Linked DNA regions of Astyanax mexicanus. The protein of the gene in region 2 interacts with the protein of the main gene of each other region in a pairwise test. Links are inferred from orthologs where the notes say so. Each region holds a gene or a part of one and is shown on either strand. Other genes may lie near its edges. The genes, in order: pfdn4 and vbp1.

Region 1 (12,128 bases), on a different chromosome or scaffold from region 2:
GCTGCTCTATAGAACTCTTCCAGTGTGACATCATAGGGAGAGGGTTCCGCTCGGTTGCCGTGGTGATGTTTAGAATTTTTGTATGAAATGCACCCAGTGGCCATGTGCACCTTATTTATTTACATTTAAATAAATGAGTCTATAGTACTGTATTTATACTATACTATAATAAACCACTACAGTCTATAGTACTGTATTTATACTATACTATACTATAATAAACCACTACAGTCTATAGTACTGTATTTATACTATACTATAATAAACCACTACAGCCTATAGTACTGTATTTATACTATACTATAATAAACCACTACAGCCTATATTACTGTATTTATACTATACTATAATAAACCACTACAGCCTATAGTACTGTATTTATACTATACTATAATAAACCACTACAGCCTATAGTACTGTATTTATACTATACTATAATAAACCACTACAGCCTATAGTACTGTATTTATACTATACTATAATAAACCACTACAGTCTATAGTACTGTATTTATACTATACTATACTATAATAAACCACTACAGCTTATAGTACTGTATTTATACTATACTATACTATAATAAACCACTACAGCCTATAGTACTGTATTTATACTATACTATACTATAATAAACCACTACAGCTTATAGTACTGTATTTATACTATACTATACTATAATAAACCACTACAGCCTATAGTACTGTATTTATACTATACTATACTATAATAAACCACTACAGCTTATAGTACTGTATTTATACTATACTATACTATAATAAACCACTACAGCCTATAGTACTGTATTTATACTATACTATACTATAATAAACCACTACAGTCTATAGTACTGTATTTATACTATACTATACTATAATAAACCACTACAGCTTATAGTACTGTATTTATACTATACTATACTATAATAAACCACTACAGCCTATAGTACTGTATTTATACTATACTATACTATAATAAACCACTACAGCTTATAGTACTGTATTTATACTATACTATACTATACTATAATAAACCACTACAGCCTATAGTACTGTATTTATACTATACTATAATAAACCACTAGTCTATAGTACTGTATTTATACTATACTATAATAAACCACTACAGCCTATAGTACTGTATTTATACTATACTATAATAAACCACTACAGTCTATAGTACTGTATTTATACTATACTATAATAAACCACTACAGTCTATAGTACTGTATTTATACTATACTATAATAAACCACTACAGTCTATAGTACTGTATTTATACTATACTATAATAAACCACTACAGCCTATAGTACTGTATTTACACTATAGAACAGAATATCATTCAGACAGTGCAAGATTTGTACTGTTTAAGCCTTTTATTTAAATAGCAGTGAAGGCCTCTCATCTGTTTTGTTTTCCAGTGCTCCTGCCCCGAACTTTCCCTTTAACTGATACATCTACTTCCTCATTTCCAATACTACTGAAACATAACGGCATGTAAAAAACAGAAAGAATCATCAGTGCTGCAAAACGAGGGATCAGGTCTGCTTGTGAGCTCCATGCAGGAAACAGGGGGTTTTAGTTGATGGATGGCGTCAGTTTGTAAAATAAAGTCCGTTCACTGAAGAACTCAGCTCTCATCCGCCTCCAGGTTAATGTTGTTCCCGAACTTCGCGTACAATTGGACTTTAAGATCCCCGAGGACTCCCTGTATCGATGACACGCGACCCTCCAGAGCTTTGATTTCATCCTTGAGAGCTTCCTGTGGAGAACATTTCAGCAAAAAAGTGTTTTTTTAATTTTTGACAAAAATATGTATATATATATATAATTATACAACATTAGCACAAAATATTAAAATATGTCTAGTTACAGTACAGTTATGAATGTTGGTTAGAAGCATTATTAAGTATAATTTCATAAGCAGCACACCTGATTTTATTTCACAAAGGATTGATTGATTGATTTTCTGGTCTATTTTCATACATAAGGAGCATTAAGCACCTTAAAAATGTAAATTCTTAATAGAAAAATCTTTTAAAGTCAAAAAACGAGCACTGAACGTTAATCTACGCAGATTTCTCTCCTGAAAACTGTTCATTTGGATGTTTAAAGCGCTTCTATTTATTTACAGTAAGCTTAGATATCCAATATTTTGCCTAAGGGTGAGTTTTCAGTGAAGTTTCTTCAGCAGCATTAGCCGCTAACCGCAGCAATAACTCGAAAGTAAATGCCTCACAACAGCAACAGACTGAGGAACCTGGAGTGTTCCGGTAAACCAGTGCGCTTGCTATCAGCTAGCGGTTCGTGCCACATAGCTTGTTTTAATACAGCAAACACACAGATTACAGCTCTGTGGTTAGCAGCTAATGCTAATGCTGCTGCACCCAGCCTTAGTGCTGGAGAAACTTCACTAAAAACTCACCCTTATATTGCTGTACTTCAGCAGAGTGGCTTTACTGCTCCCTAAATGTCTGACTGTAGAATTCATACATAAGGTGCACCGGATTATAAGGTGCATTGTCTATTTTTGGGAAAATTAAAAACATTTAAGTGTGCCTTATAGTCTGAAAAATACGGTTCAATAAATACACTTAATAAAAACAATGATAAACAGTTCCTTAAGTAAATACCAGTGCTTTCTGCACAATAAAAGAAGTGAAATAAAAGAAAAATTGAAAATTAAAGAGAGAGAGGTGGGTAGATAGATAGTAAGTGGATAGATTGGTGGGTAAATTGATAGACTAATGGGGGGGGGGGCGTAGATTGTTATAATGTAGACAGGTAGAGATAGATGTGTAGGTAAAAAGATGGATGGATGAATGGAAAACAAATAACTGACTTTTATTTCTTAAAATTATTATATATTTTTTTATTTAGTTGAGTAGTTCTTACATCTCATAATCTGGATTATACCTGTAACTCTACCTCTTCGCTACTTTACACAACTGAGGCTCTTAAACATTTTATTAAGAGGCAAGAAATTCAAGTACCGGTAATTAACTCTTGATGAGTTCAGCACAGCTGTTAACTGAAAGCCTAAATTCCAGGTGACTCAACCTCATAAAGCTAAAGGTGTGCAAAGCTGTCATCTAAGCAAGAGGTGCTTCTTTGAATAATCTCAAATATAAAACACATTCTGGTTTGTTTAACACTTTTTTGTTTACTAAATAATTCCATATATTTTTTGTCATCATTTTGGATGACTTACGTATTAATCTACACTGTAAAACATAACATTTTGGCTGGTATTTTAGTTTCAATAATTATCTGTTCACCTTAGCAGCCTCTAGCATCTCTTGCGTCTCCTCTTGCGAGTGACTGATGAACACATCTCCAATCTGATACGGGATCAGCAGATCATCATCCTCACACATCATGAGGTCATCGCTCGCGTCCTCTAAGTTCTGGAGGGATTTCTGAGAGGAGGAAAGATAAAACATACCTATAACCAAAGTGATCAGTGTAGAGTATCTGGATTAAACAGTGACAGAATCATAAACTGATAATCTGGTGTTTATTGATAATTTTCCTACTTTTTTAGCTTCTATTTCATCTTTCAGCTCCGTCATCCGATTTGTGTTCCGAGCGAACTTGTTAATCTTCTGCTGGTCTTCAAAGGTAACGTTGACATCTTCAACTGCCTGCGAGAAGAGAGGAGAAGCTTAGTGACAAAACACACACCGACAGGAGAGAGTAGAGGAGATATCAGAGAATCTGCACTTAATCTAAATGTGAAGATATAACACAGAGTAGTGCTGGAGTCTCGCTGTATATCACAGTAGAGCTAAACAATTCATCGTTTTTTAATTGACTTTTCATTCGCAGGAGCTGCGATTTAAATTAGCCAATAGCACGTTTGTAGTCCTTAGAGTGCTGGGGATTGTAGTCTTTGGGCTTATAGTCGTTCCCATGCTCAGAGCCCTGGTTGGCGTGACAATGCCTCAATATTAATGTCTTATCATTTAGTTCTGTCTAATAATAAATAAAACCTGTGATATTTTGAGAAATGTGATTTGAAAAGAAAAAAAAAAATCAAGAATAATATATAATTATTCTATTATAATATATTATTCTACTATAATATATAATGCATTTTAACATATATATATATATATATATATATATATATATATATATATATATATATATATTTTTTTTTTTTTTTTTTTGTTCCTTGAAATTTAAAAGTAAAACTGACATTTGCATTTAGTAATCTGAGAAGAACCCTGAGAATATTTTACGTGGAAAGAAGTTATTATATTATATTTGACAGATATGTTAACCACTAATACATGTTTAAGGTTTAATGGACTGAAAATAATAGAAGTTGCAATATTCTGTGGAAAGATCGCTTTAATACATTTTGCCCAAATCGTGCACCCCTCTATTATGGTATTTGTATTATTTTATTCGCATGACACAAAAAAAAAAACACAATATATGAAGAAATTAGACTTTATTAATAGAAAAACAGCTAAAGAATTTAAACAACAGACCTTAAAAAGATATATATATATATATAGTCTAAAAAAATAAAGTAAAAAATACTCAAAATGTAAGTATTCGGAGATGATCTTACAGCACTTCATGCTTCCCTCTGCTGACAACTTTTGTGGAGACGCGGATTTCATTTTCCAGCAGGACTTGGCACACTGCCCACACTGCCCAAAGTACCAAATGGTCTTATAATATAATTTTCTAAATTTCTGAGGCACTAATTTTTGGGTTTTTATTAGCTGTAAGCCATAATAATAACAATACATCTAACCTTAAAATAAAATCTATTAAAAATAATTACGCGTTTTTAACTGAATTACTAAAAAAAAAATACAGTAACTTTTAATTTTTTTTTTTTTTTTATCGAAAAAAAGTAAATAAGGTGATGATAGTGTTTTTTAATAAGTTAATGAATTTGAGCTGTATGTTAGTATAATAATGGCTAGACTCGGGTGGACAGTTAGATTTGTAGGCTTGGTTCTGCTACACGCCCATCTAGCTAAGCTAACATAGTGTGAACATCCCCTGTGATTCGCAGATGAACCGAATTCAGGTTCTACTTATTCACACGGTCAATAAACTGATTATTATCTGATCAGATCTGGGCTTTATTCTGTAGAGCTGATCCAGCTCTCATATAAGTTACACACACACAGCGCTGCCGTTAGCTCTCTATACTATATAGCTCTATAATAGCTCCACATTAGCTATGCTAAGCTAACCAAGCTAACTCTCAGGCTCCCGGAAAAGTCCTGCCTGTATATCGGCGGATTTAAACCGTATATAAATAAGACTGAACTAAAATTAATCCTAAACCTAAACTAAACCGGTCTAAAGCCAGACCGCGACTCTTTAAACAGCAAATCAAGACAGACACACTTACCACAGTCTTCTTCGTGGTGGCTGCCATCTTGGAACGGAAGGGAATCGCTGTTCGGGCGCGTGAATGAATCGTTCATTTGAACCGACTCTTTCCAGTAAATGATTCAAATCGATCAGAATTTTTTTCAGAGATCTTTTTAGCGAATTTACGTTTTGCTAACATAAATAATAATGAATTATTATTTTATTTTACTATACATATCTTCTTGTAGTCAAATAAAGGGTCAATAATACAACTTATATTGGACTTTGAGGGGAATTTTCTTACCAACCGATTAATATTTTATTTTACTTGAATGAGGTAAAAATGCAGTAAAAAAAACCCTGCGGCAACACCTCCATCTAGTGGACAGGACTATAAGGCAGGGTCTTCAGGAAATACAGTATATATTTTAATAAAGTAAAACAAACAACAACAAAAAATAGTAGTTTTTAGTTAAATAAAAAATAATAATAATAAATAAAAATTAGTTTTATTTATTTATTTATTTTTGTATCTGCTTTTATTTATAATTTAGAATTTTGGGCGCAATTTTTTATTTTTAGGTTTTCAATATTACTGTCAGACAAATAAAAAAATATCCAAATAGTTACATACTCTGTGATTAATTATTCTAATTTAATCACATTCATCGTCAAACTATTTCAAACTGTACAACTTAATAAAAGAATCTGTAAATCCTGTATATCTCGTACAACAATATACCAATTTATTATAGCTGCACCTTTATTCATCTAAACAATACAAAATTATCATACGGTCACACATACCAGAGCTTAAAATGTAAAAAAATGAGACGTTAATATTTAAAAAAATATGTATATATTTTACCATATTTTCCTAAAATAAATAATTAGGTAAGTCCAAATAAAATAAAATGAATGTTAACTATTATTATTTTAGACAATAGAGTTATTGATTTTAGTAACAGCTATTCATTTTTTTATATATTCTGTCCTGGGGACTTTTACTATGAAATAAAAATGGCGACAACACTGCAATGCTATCGGCTAAACAAGCTATGCTAACAGTTTCCTGAGCTGTGGGTAACTACTAAATCATACACACACTGCTCTTAACTGTATGAAATTACGTTCATATAAACTTATAACAATAAATATCACTAATATTATATTTAATTATATTTTAAAACAATGTGTATGTATATAAAAAAGATATATCGAATTTTGAGAAGCTAAGACAATTAGCAATGGAGAAGTACATTCAAATTAATACAAAAAATAAAGTCAACATATTTAAACTATCAAATTAACTTACTTCCATGTAACAAGGCTTATAATAAAAAAGAGAAGTGATTACGAAAAAAAAACGTATATATTGTGACGAATAGGAACGACCAACAATTTTTAAAATAATAAATAATAAAGTCAACAAATTTGTACTATAAAAGCATGTAACTTGCATATAACAAGACCTTTTGACAAATAAAAAACAATTAAAGCTAAAATAGACTAAAAATACAATATATAACAATAAAAAATAGAACAAAGCAAAGTATTAAAAATATATATATAGTAAAATAGTGAAAAGTGTTCACTATTGTACAAAACAACAGCCATAGGCTACTGTAAAAACTATAGCAATGCATTACGTGTAGTGTATGTAAAATAAAGAGGGGGCCAAAAAGCAAATCATAAGTGAGTATTTATCAATGTGAGTATTTCTTTTATTTACACTTCTACTCTCTACAGTTAGAGTACAGTACAGTAACGTTACAGTACAATAGCTACAATTACAGTCTACAGTCAAAGAACAATTTATTTAGTTCTTATTATTAAAATATGGGGTAATATTATTGTCTGTAAATAAAGAAAAAGTGGTATAACAGAAGAAAGTACTGTTTATCGTTAATGTCTGTGCTCATATGCATGTAAAATCAGATATCTTGTTTATATGAAGAATTATTACAAGCTAATAATCTCTAAAACCAGTATAAGTACACATAGTGCATTCCTGAGGGCAAGGCGTGTGTTTTAATTAGATGGTTTTTTTTTTCTTTTTGTTTGAATATCTTCTTCGTCAGTGTCCCTTTAGTAAACACACACTTAGTAATCAGTCAACTTACTGCGCCCATATAGGCAAATATTGCCACAATGCTTGCACTTTATTTTGTGATAATTTAACTGTTGGTTTAGATTTATGCACGCATCATGCATATTTCTAATAAATGTATGTGAGGAAGTGTGTGAGCAAGACCTTCAGCATTCATATGACATTCAAATAACTATTTACAATAAGGGTCGCCATTAAAAGTACTTACGACAGCAATAAACATCGTTAAATGAGTAAAGGAGTAATCAGAACTATATGAAATCAAGTGGTCCACTTGGAGCAGTCCAATTTTCAAACACTGTAGAGCATTGCCCCTTCCCAGACGCCAAGCTCATGTGGGTTGCCAGGTTGAGGACACAGTGGCAAGTGATGCTGAGTCTTACTCTGCAAGCTGATCAGCAAATGTACATTGTACAATTGTTTGGAATGTTTTTATTGTGTGCCCATTATAAACAAACTTATGTGATTAATGTGGTTCAAGACAGCTGTCCTAGAGTTAATTTACCCTTCTCTAGCTCCGCCCCCTTGTTACCCAGTCCCAGGTGTTTTCCATCCATTTGTATTTATAGTCCCCCTCGTTCCTGTGTTCCTTGTCCATTGTTGAACGTCAGTCAGGTTATGTGTTAACATGCTATCTATGTCCCCTGTGTTGCTTTTTCTTTCAGTTTTTGGTTCTTTGTTTGTTTGTTTGTTAATGTTTTTTTTTTTCAATAAATCTTCTGCCAATCTCCACATCTCCTTCCTGCTCCCTACCTGACAAAGCTTATGCATGTTGCCAGATTGAGGACACAATTCCAAGCAATGCAGAGTATGAATGTGAGCACTCTAATGTTGAAATAATTAAATTTCCCCACCCTACTATGCTAGTAGTAGTTTTGATAAATGGACAGTGAACCTTAGCTGAAACTTAGCTGATAAGTGCTTACTTACTTCTGAGAAAATTAACCAGCTTGGCATCTTTTGGGTGTTCCTAGGCTCTAAACTGTCTCCATCTGTTGAAATCAGTACCAGTATTGACTCTCATTTACTCCATCTCTGGCCATAGAGCTTTTTAAAGATAAATGCAGATGCCTTTTAGGCTGCTTCTGTTAAAACATTTCCCTTGTTAGCTTCCACAGCTGGAGCGAACTGTTTGTCTGATATTGTGTTCCGTACCTGGCAAACCAGGGTGTGGAAATGGGATTAGTGCAATTGCAGAGATTACAGTAATGTACAGTAATGTGGATTTCTAATCACTAAATAAAGGGATAAAAACTGAACAAACTAAGTCAGTTAATTTATTGAGTAAAGTGTTGGTTTGGGAATATTGAGCTGGGTGGTTTGAGGCGTTCCATGCCTCGCATGTCTGAGAAATTCCTTTCACCGTGGCAGAGAGCGAGGGGTGACCACAGTGGAATTTCTCGTCCGCCTCCGCTGTGTACGTTTACAATGTGAGGCTGTAACTGTGGACGGCATGTATTAGCACATTATTAGCCTAACCCTGACCAGCGGCTGATCAGTCACAGGCGATTTAGGGACTGTTCAGGACTTTCTTTGCCTGCTTACTGTCACTCAGTTTACTGTTCTGTAAATCATTATTATTAATACAGCCTTTTTTAACTGTTAATTTAAAGCAATGAGTTTTTATTCTTCAGTAAATCACATTCCTTTATTAAAAAAAAAACTGAGCCAAAGGAATTTGCCAAAGGAATGTATGAGGGAGTGGTCAGTGCTTTCAAATTTACAGTGCAGATCTACCATAAATTAAAATATTGTTTTTACAAAAAAAAAAGATTTTTCCTCAGTAAATGTTCTTTAAAAATCAAATTCAAAATATTCTAAGGATGCTTCAAATATTTGGCAGTTGAACAATTAAGTAAAAAGACCAGATAATCTGTGCCAAACAACGACTTATTAGGATTTTTAAGCAGTGGTGGCACACTTATGACTGACATAAAACTGACAAACGGCAGGTTTAAGTTCATTTTTACGCTTGCATAAATTAATCACTTATCAAGTGTAGAATGAGTTTTCTTGCTACCTTTTCACAAACGGGCTCTTTTCATGATGAGAAATACGAGCTGTACAAAAAAAACTTGAAAAAATATATACTTCAGTTGTTGGAAAAATATATTTATAAAATTAAAAAAATAATAATAGATTTCACATACAAAGAAATACTTGCCCATATATTTATTAAGGGCTGTTAATAAAAATGATGATAAAAAACGAACTAAATAATTGCACAATGCACATTGCACATATTAAATATCAAAACCAGTTAAAAACCTGCTAATGATTTACTAAAACCCGCTAATACAGCAAAAGGCTCTGTAAAAAAGAATTAATCATGGCAGGAAATTTCAGACAAAATTACATAATTTACATAAAAATAAGTTTCCAGATTAACTGCACTAGTTTCACTTTAAAAAATAATAGTGTACCTTAGTTTTTTCCTCAAAAATAACATTGGTTATAACATTAGTTTTTCATCCAAATGAACATTGTACATCAGTTTTTAACTCGAGAAGAACATTGTACATCATTTTTGACCTCAAAAAGGCCATTCACAAATGTAAAATCAGTGTAATTCTTCTTTAATAATTTCCCCTACAGCAGTAGCATACTGAAAATTGGGGGCAAAACCAACAACAGAACTTAAATACAGTAGAATATAATATAAGGTATGAGCAGTTGGTAGGCATTTCCCTGAGTCATCGGTGAGTTTTCAGCTGCTAGCGTAGCGTAGAGTCAGTGAGGAACTTACAGCCAGTTCCTCATTCTCGTGAACTTTCTCCTGGTGTTGTGGGTAAGTTCTGGTTTTGCAGAATACAGATTCTGATTTAAAGAACTCGCATCCTAAAAACAACAACCAACAATAATCTTCCATGCTTGTTAATCTTTGCATTAATCTAGGTCAATGTTTGTAGATAAAAAAGCATGTGTAATAGATCAGTGCTTCACATTAAGTTTCCCTTTAACCCAGAATAATAAATCAGAGCGCTATAGAAGAAAAGCTATGAATCAGTTCAGGCTGATAGCTGGACATATCAATGAGAACACGTTAGAGGTGCAGAGGTGATCTAGAGTCATGTTCGGCCAATTCATTAGGAATACCGCGTGGCTTCAACACGAGCCTTCAAATATTATTGGAAGGTCTGTTATCTTGTTTTTCTGTCATTGAGGTCACTGCTGCTGCTTTTCTGTTTGATGTAAAAGTCGCATTAATTCCGATTTAGACAAAGTTGCATTGCCTTCAATCAAATATGTATCAGATTTCATTACCACATATTGAAGTGGCTTAAATCTGAATAAAAAATTTGAGATTTAGTGTGTTTTTTGCTGTTTACACAGCCACGCAAACAAAAAACCTGTTTTTTTTTTCTAATGTGAAAGTTCTCTGTTAAACTTTTACTCAGCACATTAAAGAATATGATTTAGTGTCAAAATTATCATGAGCTGTATTGCTAAATACAAAAAAAAATCGAATTTATTTTTGGTAAAAAAAATTTGGGTCCCAAAATTTTTCGAATTTTTTTTGGGTCCCAAAATTTTTCGAATTTTTTTTTGGGTAAAAATTTTTTGGGTCCCAAAATTTTTCGAATTTTTTTTTTTGGGTCAAAATTTTTTGGGTCCCAAAATTTTTTAAATTTTTAATTTAAAAAAGAAACAGTCATTAAGTAACGTTCTTATTTTTTTCACATATGGACAGTAGTACTGAGGGACTAGACAGTATGTTTTGAATAAAAAAAAAAATACAATTTAGATTTCTTTATTTTAGTACAGAAAGTTCATTTAATTTTCTCTTAAACAAGTGTGAAAAACCAACAAAGCCTGACTCATGAACAAGCAGGTTGTCATATTAATGCAGAGTACAGTTTGTTTTCTATAAGGGTTGGAATTGCTCTCTTGGCAGATGACAGCTCTGTGTGTTGACTCAGACCGTGTGAACATCTCTCGAGTTCCTATATAAAGAGTGCAGAACCTGCTTCTGATTCAGTATGGCTGCTTTCCCAGTGCTGTACAGTAGATCAACATGTTATATTTATCTGTCTTTTGTCTAGTTTTAATGTTTCTGGTGACTTTATTGTGATTATCAACTCCAATCCTCCAAACTTGATCTTATATACCACTATTAAACACTGTAAACACTGTAGACAGTGTAAAGCACTGCCAGAAAAATGAGTGTCTTATTTGCTGTGGGTTTATGAACACAAACAATTTAATAAACAGCTTGAGTTACTGATTTTAGCAATCAATAATTGTTTACTAAATACATTTGCTATTGTGTGTGTTTTTAGTTAATAATGCATGAAAAAATAAAAGCAAAAAAAAATGGAAAAAAAAGGCTCTAAAGGTTAAAAATGTAGACATGGTATACGTTTCATACATGTTTAATAGTTTGTAGTATTGCTACACAATTGGCTACAAAATCTTACACCCTGTGCAAGGAGCGTTGTTGTGCTCATTGCTATCTTACACCCCCGCCAACAGTCTATTTTCACACCTTGCACCCTGACCGTTAAAGTAGTGTCAGAGTTTAGAAATATATCTACGTAGATGGGCGTGGTGTGTTCAGGTATATTTCTGGCATATTGTTATCTTGGGAGCAGAAAACACAGGTGCGCTGAAGAAGCGCAGAAGCATTGCACCTTTAAAATATCAATCGGCCAAAGTCAGACTGCACCTGGCTCT
Region 2 (12,139 bases):
CCGTGTGTGAGCAGAGTGTGTTCCAGTGTTTTCTCAGACAGATTTGGGTGAGAATGACTCATGAGGAGCTGTGCCAAAGATGGACTCAAACCTCACACACCTCATATAACGTATCGATACACTGATCAGTATGAGGATTTGAGGATACGTAAATCCCAACTGTGGATTCATTAGGTAGTCTATAATAAAGTAAAAATGACGTCATGCTCTACATATATAGCCACACAGATCACTGCTGCCACGTCAAACTAATCAGGACGCGCGTCTTCAATAAACTATCGATCAACTGCACCAGGTGGTTGATAGACAGTAATCAGCCATCAAAATCAGTTCTCGAGACAACCTTTCACACAGTGAATGCTGTATAGAGCCCCTATAGACCCCCTCAGCTGTACTCACCGAATTGCGCGTGCTCAGAGGCCACTGGAGCCATCGCTGTCCGCGGTGCTGAAACGATGCTCCCGCTGATCTGCGCACTTCTCTCCTCCGGAGGCTCGAGACTCGGAGCGAAGTGTGTGTGTGAACGCCGCGTGTACCGGATTAAAAATTTTACGCGCGCGTGCTCGTTTGTTTTTCAGGGAACAGCTGGACCGCGCTGCTCTTCCTCCTGCTGTTCCTCCTGTTCTTCCTCCTCCTTACTGGTGGATCAGCACCGCCCTGTGCTGCTGCTGCTGCTCTCTCTCCGCTATATGACCGAGAAACAGCGCCACCTCTCTTTCTCTCTGTGCCTCTCTCTCTCTCTCTCTCTCTCTCTCTCCTGCTCTCTGTGCCTCTCTCTTTCTCACTTTCACCCTCTCTCTATTTTTGTGCCTCTCTCCCTCTTCGCTCTCTCTCTGCCTACTCTCTGTGCCTCTCTCTCTTTCTCTCTCCCCTACTCTCTGTGCCTCTTTCTCTCTCTCTCTCTCTCTCTCTCTCTCTCTCTCTCTTTCTCTCTCTCCCTCTCTCTCTTTTTCTCTTTTTTTATCTCTCTCTCTCTCTCTCTCTCTCCCTCTCTCTCTTTTTCTCTTTTTTTATCTCTCTGTGCCTCTCTGTCTCTCTCCCTCTTTTCTCTCTCTCTCTTTCTCACTTCCCCCTCTATCTATTTCTCTGTCTCTTTATTTCTCTCTCTCTCTCTCTCTCTCTCTCTCTCTCTCTCTCTCTCTCTCAGTGTCTCTGACGCAGGTGTGACGTTCGCTGGGGCAATCATTCTGATTGCTGAAGGTTTGGCCTCTTGGTGTGTGTGTGTGTGTGTGTGTGTGTGTGTGTGTGTGTGTATGAAAGGTAAAGCTGTTTCAGGTAATACAAGTGATACAAGGTACAACATACAATTCAAGTACCTTAAATTTAGCAATAATATAAAAGCAACAATAATTCAAGTGCCAGTTATACTGTATGACAACTTTACAGAAGGATTTGGAAAATATAAAAATAATGACGCTTCAAATGTTAAAATGCATCACAATATAGCACCTTAATACAGGTGTGGGCATTCCTGAGCCCTGTCAGTGTCAGTGTATGTTTGTGTCTATTTCTGTTGGTTCAGTCATCAGGAAATGCTGTAAACAGGACAGCTGTTATGTTCAAATGATTCATATTTGTAACACCTACCCCCAACAACATGTACAGTCATGAGACAGAATTAGCACGAGCCTTTTTTCCTTTTTAACATATTTTTATATATATATCGATTTTACTTTCATTTAACAGTGTTAAGGCATGGATACATACAACTGAATACATGATTTTAAAACTATTTGTACATTATAAATTAGACTTTAAGGAGTATTTAAAACAATAATGTTCCTTGAAGAAAGCTGGGAAGGGATTTCCCTAGTTTCTCCCTCTACAGTGCAACAATACTGCATCATACAAGTCACTCAGGTTTTTGCTTTGGAGTGAGCAATGATGCTGATTAGATCATGAGCTTTTTATACCCACATCTGGATACCTTGACCCTGGTGTTATATAGTGCATACAGTCCTTATATAGCCCTTCTGCCTCCATGCATGTGAGAAAAGAAAAATAACATAGTAAGTAAATATTCAGCTAAATGTTGGTTAAATGTCAGTTGAGGCATCTCTAATGGACCATCCAAATAAAGTCATACTGGTCTTTCTCTATAAGACATAATAAAACACAATTAACTGTTTATTTGTCCATTTCCATTCATTATTCATTTAATTAATCTAACTTAGAACAACTTTGGAGTCCTTTATAAATGTTTACTGACATCATTAATAGCTGTATAATATTATGTAAAGTCTCAGATCTTTCCACATTATTGTAGCCTGTATGCAAGATCAGCTGTTTTTCATAGTCAGATTTATTTTTAGAGATATTATATACAGATAAATGGTCCTAATATTATCCAATAAACAATTCTCACAGCCTCAGAAGGAACCATGTCTAGTCATTATGACTGTGCTGACCATATGTGCTAAACAAACACTTATAAATAACGAATAACAATAAAAGAACAAACATATACACACACATACTGGCACAGTCATGTAGCTGTAAAAATTTGCTAACAGTCTTCATATAGTCACGCCCTGCTCTGTTTCCCTGTGTTTTCTGCGTTTCCCCAGTTATTTTCCCTCACGTGTCTGTAAATTGTAGCTCCGCCCCTCGTTACCTGTCGCCCCAGGAGTTCATTGTTTCCTATTAGTATAAATAGTACCCTTTTGTCTATGTTTGGTCTTCGGTCTTTGCACCTTCCTCTGTCGTTTGTCTTGCCACGTTTATAGTAGTTTTTCCACGCTCCATAGTTCTTTGTTTATCAGTTATTCTCTGTTTATTCCGTGTTTCTATCTCTAGTTTGTTTCCTTGTTTATTTCTTGTATATATTTACGTTTATTTCCTTGCATATATCCCCAGCCCTGTTTAGTTATTATCTGTCTAGTTTAGTTCTTGGTTATTTTCCCTGTTTGTTTATGTATTTATATTTCCTCGTTTACTCCTTATTTGTTTCTTTGTTTATGTTATTTAATAAATCCTGTCTTACTCGCTTTTACGTCCGCCTCCCGTCTGCTCCACCATTACACATATATCACACACCATCAATACACATTTGTCACTGTCCAATGAAAAACACTCCAAAATCTCCAAAACAGCAACCTTACAGAAGAGAGAAAAAACCTTGTAAATGTTCAAAGAAAGTTAATGTAAAAAGAGTTTATTTCAGGTCATTATGAGGAGTTTCTATTGGTCTGTTCATTAAGAAATTTTGGGACAGTGTAAGGGATAGTTTGTCTGTTCAAATTATGTAGTAAACTAAAAATAGACAAAATAGAGATTAGTGTTTTTCATAGGACAGTGACGCTGTATATCTTATAGAATGTCTAAATGCCCTCCAACACCTAATATAACCCAGAGGGTTCTTCAAGAGGGATGAATCTTCATGCTATAGCTCAGCTGGCCTCATTTTCCTCAAGGTCAGCTGGATCAGGGTTTTAAGAGTCCTACTTTATGGTGATCTATAGATGCACAGCTACGGTTCAGAGAACACTGTGTCTCTAATTGCTGTGTTCCTGTAGCTTTATTTCACATTTGGGATTATGAAATGGAGCTGTAAAAGGGAGATGCCAAGAACACTGGATCAATACATTCAGTGCGGTTTCATTTTTTTCTGTCATTTAAGAAGGATTTAAACTGTGCAACAAGGCCATGTTATTGCAACAGCAATGAACTCTTATTAACCATTTCATTTGTGAATGGTATAAAGTGATTAAATGCATTGCTTTGCTGATGACACCCAGCTATACCTCTCATTCTCACCTGAAGATCACTCAATCTCTGCACGGATATTGCAGTGTCTCTCAGACATATCCTCATGAAGGAGCATCACCGTCAACTAAATCTCTCAAAGAGTGAACTTCTGGTTATACCAACAAAACCATCTTTTCAACACAACTTCTCTATAAGCATCGACTCTCTCTCTCTCTCACCGACAAAGGTTGCTAGGAACCTGGGTGTTATGGTTGATGACCAGCTCTCCTTCACGCACCATGTGGCCTCAGTTGCTCGATCCTGCCGCTTCGCGCTTTATAACATCTGAAAAATTCGACAGTTTCTGACGCAACAGCCCACCCAACTCCTGGTACAAGCAGTCGTCATCTCACGCCTCGACTACTGCAATGCCCTGCTAACTGGCCTCCCGGCCTGCGTAGTAAAACCACTCCAAATGATCCAGAATGCAGCAGCACGTCTGGTCTTCAACCAGCCAAAACGGGCACATGTCACCCCATTGCTCATTGAGCTCCATTGGCTACCAGTTAATGCATCAAATTCAAAGCTCTTACAGTCGCCAACAAGGTGATGACAGAACAGCTCCTTCCTACCTGCACTCACTCCTGAAGGCTTACACTACCTCCCAGCCGCTGCGCTCCTCCAATGAACGTCGCCTCACTTTACCAAACAAACATTCACACAAAGCAATCCAGACTGTTCTCATACAGAGTTCCCCTATGGTGGAACAAACTACCTTCCACTACCAGATCAGGAGAATCTCTCACTATCTTTAATAAACTCCTGAAGACAGAGCTCTTCAGGGAGCACTTACTCTCCTAACACCTCTAACACACTAACTACTTCTAACCTCATTTCCTTCTTCCCCTCCTTCACTCCTCTATCCCATTATTTCCCTTTGACCTCCTTTAGACCCTATCTAAAGATGTTTTTACCTTTAACTTATTACTTTTGTACTTCACTATTGTAAGTCTGCCAAATGTAATGTAATGTAAAATGATGTTTAGTTACATCGTTGAGCAACATCAAACTCACAACCAGAAAGAATCAAGACTTAAAAGAGCAGAAAATCAGACAGCAAAACAACAACATTAAATGCAACTGTATAACTAATGGATATACAGCAATGAAATATTAAGTCCATATGTGTGAGCATAACACTACATACATGTACAAAACCAGATATTAATATTAGAAGCTTTATTACAGGAAAATAATTATAGATATATGTTTGGAACATTAATATGATGAATATGTAAATAGCTCAGTATGAATAGTCATGACTGTAATGTTAGTACACAAGGATCATTGGTCCTCATTCACCAAAATCATCTTTCATTCTTGAGAAATGAATGCTGCATTTCTATTTGCTCAATGCCTCAGTTAATCCTTTTTCCATATTTCTCCACTCTGTAGCTGTTGATGTATAAGGGGATTCATGTGGGAATATACACTGACAGGTTTGAGTATAAATTTAGCTTTTATCCAGAAATAGCATCAGAACTGAGAACTAAAGATCCTACAGCAGAAACTGGTGCTCTATAAGCTGCAGCTCTGAGTTTAACAGCAGTAGCACTGATTTAGTCCTCGTCTGAAGTCTCATTTATACTCTTCCACTGACACACATTTCACATCTCCTGCGGTAACGTTCACACCCTAATCTGCTGTATCACCATGACAGCCCAGCGGCCCAGCAGAGCACAGCAGCAGCCCAGAGACACGTCACTAATAGAGACACAGTTCTCAGTACTAAAGAGCCTCACACTGAAGATTAACATTGCATAGAGAGAGAGAGAGAGTCAGAGACAGAGAGAGAGAGAGAGAGAGAGAGAGAGAGAGAGAGAGCATTAGAAAACAGGTGAATAAAAAGGAGACACACTGCCCAAAGTACACTGCTAAAAGTATGGATTGGATTTATATAAAATTTACATTTTCTGAGACACTGAGTTTGGGTTTTTTATTGGCTATAACCCATAATCATAATGCAATTTACTGAATGAAATGAATTACCGAAATAAAGTAACTTTTCAATTATATTCTTTTTTAGATGCACCTGCTCTGGGAAAAAAAAATAATAAAATCAAATAATAATAATGAGTTTCTTTGATTTTACCAAATTGAAAACCTCTAGAATATAATCAAGAAGAAGATGGATGATCACAAGCCATCAAACCAAGCTGCACCAGGAGTGGCATAAAGTTATCCAAAAGCAGTGTGTAAGACTGGTGGAGGAGAACATGCCAATGCATGAAAACTGTGATTAAAAACCAGCGTTATTCCACCAAATATTGATTTCTGAAACTTTTTATGAATATAAACTTGTTTTCTTTGCATTATTTGAGGTCTGAATGCTTTGCATATTTTTTGTTATTTCAGTCATGTATCATTTTCTGCAAATTTCCCGCTCCAAATGACAGTATTTTTTTTTTTATTTGGGAGAAATGTTGTCAGTAGTTTATAGAATAAAACAACAATGTTCATTTTACTCAAACATATACCTATAAATAGCAAAATCAAAAAAATGATTCAAAAACTGAAGTGGTCTCAATTTTTTCAGAGCTGTATATCTGTATCGGGTGCTTGAAGGCTTGTCCCAATTACACTCGAAAACAAGGGGTAGGGTAAAAAAGATAAATGGGATTGGGCCTTAGTGAGGGAGTGAGGGATTTTGGATAAATGATGCCACCTGCCGGTGGATCTGTGAACTGCTCCAACACACAAAACCCCGCTCTGTATCTGTACAATATGTAACCATATGAACAGTTTAAAATAAAATATCTGAGAATGTACCGCTAATAAAGCTCAGATTCAGAGCTTTAACTAAGCAGAAGCCTTTGATTATCAGCGTTAAACCCTCCGGGACGCTGCTGCAGCTTTATAAAGGCCGGGCGGCTGGCCGGAGAAACGCCCAACGTCACCTAAAGAGGAAGGGCTACGGGTCTTTCCAAAATGGCGACGACCATAGAGAGCAGCAATGCTGGAGCTGCGAGCAAGAAAAAACACCTCGGGATCCCCGAAGCGATCTTCGTGGTGAGTGAGCCGCGGACAGGGAGGTGTAAGAGGGCTCGGAGATGTTTTATAAGCCGGTTTGGAAGCTGTTTATCGGGGTTAAAGCCGTTAGCGAGCCCGCTGAGTTAGCGCGGTGCTGCAGCCTGGCCGTTTCCTTTTAAGGCTGTGGCCCAGGCTAATGCTGCTTTAAGAACAAATGGAGGCTAAAAATGAGATTTTCTGTGTTACAAAATCAGCAGTCTATATTTTTCTAGCAGCTACAGTGCATATAACTTAAGTTCATAACGGCTCTGATAGGTTTTCTCCTTATACTAGCCTTTTATTACTGTTCTGTAGTGGAGAGTTTTGTATGGCCCATTGACTGTAACGTTAATGATGAATAGTAGCATAGCTTGGTTAGCTGCTGCAGTAGTTTACTGACTACAGAGGCTGGATTTTATATCCAATATAATATTATAATTATTAATCTCCAAAATAATGATAGGTTGGTTATTTGGGTGTAGCACTATCAGCAAATAATGTAAATGTAAAGTCTAGTAAATATTGTAAAGCAAAATATTATTATTATTATTATTATTATTATTATTATTATTATTATTATTATTATCATATTAATATTAATAATAAGCCAATATAAACGTTTTTAATGAAAGACTTCTATAAAATCATTGTCTGAAGCACATAGATTTAATATTTTATATGTTACCATTAACATACAGTAACAGTCAATGTATATCAATGTGGACACCTCTTCTCGTTCAGTGTTTTCTTTCTTTTTATTATTATTTTTTAATAAATATATTTAGTTTAATCTCTAAAATAATGTTAGTTGATTGTTTGGGGTAGCACTACCAGCAAATAATATAAATATAAAGTCCAATAAATACTGAATAAATTCTCTTCTTCTTCTTCATCTTATTGTTGATTATCTGGAGAACATAGATTATATATCTTCATATGTTACAGTTACAGTTAACATATATTTCCATGGACACATGTTTTCTTCTTTGATTAATTAATTAATTTCTGGTAGAAAACCAGCAAATAATGTAAATGTAAAGTCCAGGAAATACTGTATAAAATAATTATATAAAAAAAAAAGGTTTATGTACTAGTACAACATCATATTTGCTAAATATATAGCTCGTAAGCATCATTCCTAATGGAATTTATACAGAATTTCACACTGGAAGATGCTTGTTATGACATATCTGCAAATGTATTATACTGTACAGAAAAAAATGCTGTAATCTTTATTTTTCAGTGTAACAGTAGTAAACATCACAAATGGAGAAGGTTTTTACAACCAAAAAGAAATGGAGAAGATTTACATCTGTCGATGTATATGTTTATTGTGCTTTATGTTGATGTATCATTAAACAATGGGCTAAAAGTGCTGCTGGTTTGTATCAGAGTACTGTTTACTGGAGTCATGACAAAGCAAGAACCAAGTCAGTTTGCCCCCTCATCCTTCTTTTTTTCAGGGACTTTTAGCCTCAGATAATTCTTTTCATTAACTGGACAAAATAGTATGTGCAAATATCACTTATTAAAGCACTTTTCATTATTGGGAAAGAAGCATAATGAACAAATCCAGTCTAAGCATATCATTTATAATTTTGCATGCCACTTTCATTATTGGGTTAATTTAATTATTGACCTGAGGTCCAGGTACATGACTGTCTCTTCTTTCTTTTAGGAGGATGTGGACTCCTTTATGAAGCAGCCCGGCAATGACACAGCAGATGCTGTACTAAGGAAGCTCGATGAACAGTATCAGAAATATAAATATATGGAGCTTAACCTGTCCCAGAAGAAACTCCGGTTTGTTTATTGTTATTATTATTATTATTATTATTATTGTGAGGTATGGCTGCTTTATTTTGTGTTTTTTTGTGGTTCTAATTATCTTATTAATTGTCCTTTACAAATAATGTTCTTTACAAGTAATGGTTAACCATTAGCCGGTTTTGTTCTAAAAGAATACAATGCTTTTGTTGACAGTTGAGTGTTCATTCCCTTGCAGTGGCACAGTGTTTCTTATCCTAAAGTCCCAAGTGAGCACAATTGGCCTTGCTCTCTGCATATATTTTTATATTAGTGATACCCAGTGGCATTTACCTTTTATTGGACGCTTTCTTCAGAGGAGATAAACTTTTTATCAATTAAAATTGCCTGACCTCCACAAATGCTGCCACTGTCACATATGCTACTTTGACTGCCTGTCATGGTTGGAATGCATTTAATGTAATGGTTCATCAGGACCTCAAATATGGTGTCAGACATAATTTGCTGTGTCATTGTGCTCTATTTATGAAGTATTTTAACATATTTCCAGTCCTAGTCATAGTGTGTGATTGCTGAAATGGGCTTGAAATGAGCCAGTACAAATCCTAGCGGTCCAGAAGTTGTGAAATGTGGAATTTTGCCTTGTTTAGGTTGAAAAGCCAGATTCCACAAATCAAGCAGACGTTAGAAATCTTACGGCACATGCAGAAGAAAAAGGTAAGCAATACTGTTAACTGTAGTAATAAAAATCAGCTTCTGTCTTTCTGCTCTCCTTTTTTCAGTCTACTCATTCAGTAATGTCTCCTTGTCTTGGTACAGGACACTACAGATCCAATGGCGACTCACTTCCTTTTGGCTGATAACGTGTACTGCAAGGCCTCCGTCCCTCCCACAGATAAAGTGTGTTTGTGGCTTGGGGTAAGTATTCAGCTCACACCTGAGGAGCAATGCTGGCTCAAAGGAGAACTTTAATTGACTTTTGGTGTAGTAAAACATGCTTAAAAGTTATACCTTTGTTAAACAGCCCACCACCACTCTCCTGCAGCTTTCTGAGGCCCAGTTATTTTGTGCTTTTTGCCAGGCACTCTGTACAACCGTGTCAGGGCATATTTTGCCCCAATAAATCGCTTTTTACACCGTTATCCAGGCTCAAAGTAGCTTCACATTTCTTTGGTAGAATCTGGAGAGCCCAGACATTTAAATCGAGGCATTAGTAACTTAAAAAGTACTATAGAATCTTAAAAAACACTCTTTGCTCACATTTGTCCACAATTTTAGGATTAAAAAAAAAACAGAACTTTAAAAACTAGGAAAAAACACAGTCTAAAATTTTCCATTTTCTGTGGCAAATGTGTGACCAGTAAGCTACTAAAAAGGAGTCTTCATAGAAAAGGCCCACTGTGGGTTTTGGGATGCAGCTTATACTGTATTTTCATACAATATACAATTTTCATTGCATGTTCTTATATGATCGCTTTCTGAAAAAGGCAAACGTAATGTTGGAGTATGACATAGACGAAGCCCAGTCACTCCTGGAGAAGAACCTCGCCACAGCCTCCCGAAACCTGGAGTCCCTAGAAGAGGACCTGGATTTCCTCCGAGACCAGTTCACAACCACTGAAGTCAGTATCCTTTCTCTAAAGTGGAGATGCCCCAGTTTTGTAATGTACACTGTACGTCTGGGTAAGTTACCTAGGAGCAGAGTAAAATTCCTAATAAGAAAATATATTATATTAGATTAGGTTAGATGTAGCTTCTTTGTAAAATTTTATTACATATATAAAGTGTTTAAAGTCACCGTGGCAAGTGATGGTCTGATTAATTAGCAGTGGCTGTGTGAACTACATAACATATTATATGACCTGGAAATGGAGACTAAACTTTGGTTATTGTAATGATTTATGGCGATCATCTTCTCTATGCTGCTTTTAAGTAGCTTGTAGTTTGTGTATCTGTTTAACAGTTCGGTTGTCATAGGAGCATATTACTGTATTTAAGCCACTGAATTGTTATAATGTGTTGTGTAGTCTTAGTGCTGACTTCATCACAGTACTGTAGAGCCCAATTGAGACTTTATAGATGACACCATTACTGTGTTCTAGATTTCAGTCTAGTTTCAGGTATTTCCAGTCTTAGAAATTGGTCTCTTCAGTTTTTTATCAAGTTTTTTAGCCACAGTTTAAAACCTCAGACAAGAGCAAAATAAACAAAAGGAGACTAGACAGTTGGCTTGGTTCTGTTGTCTAAACCAGTATTTATTAATCCTGCTCCTGGCAACCCTTGGTTAAACCCACTGGTTAAAATTGGCCAAGTCATTACACTTGATCCAGGTGTTTTGTGTACAGGATTACTAAAACTACTGCTGTTTTAATGGGTCTGAATGCTTCCTATTATTTCCATTTAAGTAAAACTGAAATGAACAGCTTCAATAAAAATAAATAACTAAATGTATTATTTTTTATTTTTATACATTTTTTCTTTCTTCTCTTTTAAAAAAAAAAAAAAGACAAAAAAAAAAACACACTGCCTGACTGATATGCTGATTATCAGCTCACTAAAGCCCCACACTGCAATTTAATTTTAGTCTGACAAACTTCAGATCCATTTGACTAAAATGTAAATGGGATCAGGATACAGTTCATATACAAGTCATTTGAAGTAACCAGTTGTAAACCGGGTGTTTGTGAACAGTGAACAGGTCATATTAGTTGTTAATTTGCAAGTAAGTTCACCTAGTATTTCAGTTATGCAAGCTTTTAGAATAGGCTTGTTAATTAGCAGGTCTTTAGCAAAGTGCTTATTGTTACAAAGCTTTTTAAAAACTCACCCCATTTCTTGTAGGATAGGATAAATTAAAACAAACTGTGTGAACAGCATTCCTTAACAGTGTTCCCTTCAGATATGGCGCGTGTCTACAACTGGGACGTCAAGAGGAGGAGCAAAGACAACCTCCTCAAATCTGCTGAAAAGTCTTAGAGGAGGGGCATTGCTTTTCCATCCCCGACCACACCCCAAAACTCTCACCCCTGATAGTACCAACTGCCCCATGTGTCCACCTACTTCCACACTGTTATCTATTGATTTGTTACTTTTTAAAATATTTTTTCAAGTAAAAAGGAAAAAAGAAATCAAACAGAAGTGACGGCAGCAGTTTCTTTTCTATGATTTTTATTATAATCAAAAGTTTGTGTTTCACTTATTGACTGATGATGATGACACTGAGTGCTTGCTAAGCTGTTTACTGTCTGCGGCAGGCTTGTACTAATTAGTGAATATCCTGAATGTGCCAGGAGCTTGGGAGGAGAGAGCATGTGAATGGCGAGGGCAAGTGCTCAGAAGGAATGTCTTTGTTCATCGGTCAATCTTCCCGTTTATCCTGAGACTCCTTCCCCTCGCTTCTTGTCTTTCTCTCCTTCTCTTTCTCCACAGCTCACATCTCCTTTTAAACCTGCTGTTTCTTCTCCTTTGTTTTTTTCCTACTGTCTCTCATCTGTATTTATTTGTCACATTGTATCCATTAAATACTGAATGAGCAACTCGTAATGAAGCTTTTGAGGAAAAACACAACATGGACGAGATGGTGTGTGTTTTTAACCTGTTACATTGTTCTGATACT

The links.
Region 1: the proteins of vbp1 (region 2) and pfdn4 interact in binary tests that used the Homo sapiens proteins (3 or more experiments, as listed by UniProt). The link is inferred for Astyanax mexicanus from reciprocal best matches to the Homo sapiens genes VBP1 and PFDN4.

The regions. Positions count from the first base shown.
Region 1 is NC_064420.1:3,766,283-3,778,410, forward strand, and holds pfdn4 (prefoldin subunit 4), read right to left. Parts: upstream 5,485-12,128; 5' UTR 5,409-5,484; coding exon 5,382-5,408; intron 3,643-5,381; coding exon 3,535-3,642; intron 3,418-3,534; coding exon 3,277-3,417; intron 1,761-3,276; coding exon 1,629-1,760; 3' UTR 1,356-1,628; downstream 1-1,355. UniProt on the Homo sapiens protein: Binds specifically to cytosolic chaperonin (c-CPN) and transfers target proteins to it. Binds to nascent polypeptide chain and promotes folding in an environment in which there are many competing pathways for nonnative proteins.
Region 2 is NC_064415.1:17,235,317-17,247,455, reverse strand, and holds vbp1 (prefoldin subunit 3), read left to right. Parts: upstream 1-6,608; 5' UTR 6,609-6,675; coding exon 6,676-6,756; intron 6,757-8,434; coding exon 8,435-8,559; intron 8,560-9,173; coding exon 9,174-9,240; intron 9,241-9,342; coding exon 9,343-9,441; intron 9,442-10,010; coding exon 10,011-10,149; intron 10,150-11,422; coding exon 11,423-11,499; 3' UTR 11,500-11,661; downstream 11,662-12,139. Other genes in the region: syt4 (synaptotagmin-4), read right to left, coding at 400-433. UniProt on the Homo sapiens protein: Binds specifically to cytosolic chaperonin (c-CPN) and transfers target proteins to it. Binds to nascent polypeptide chain and promotes folding in an environment in which there are many competing pathways for nonnative proteins.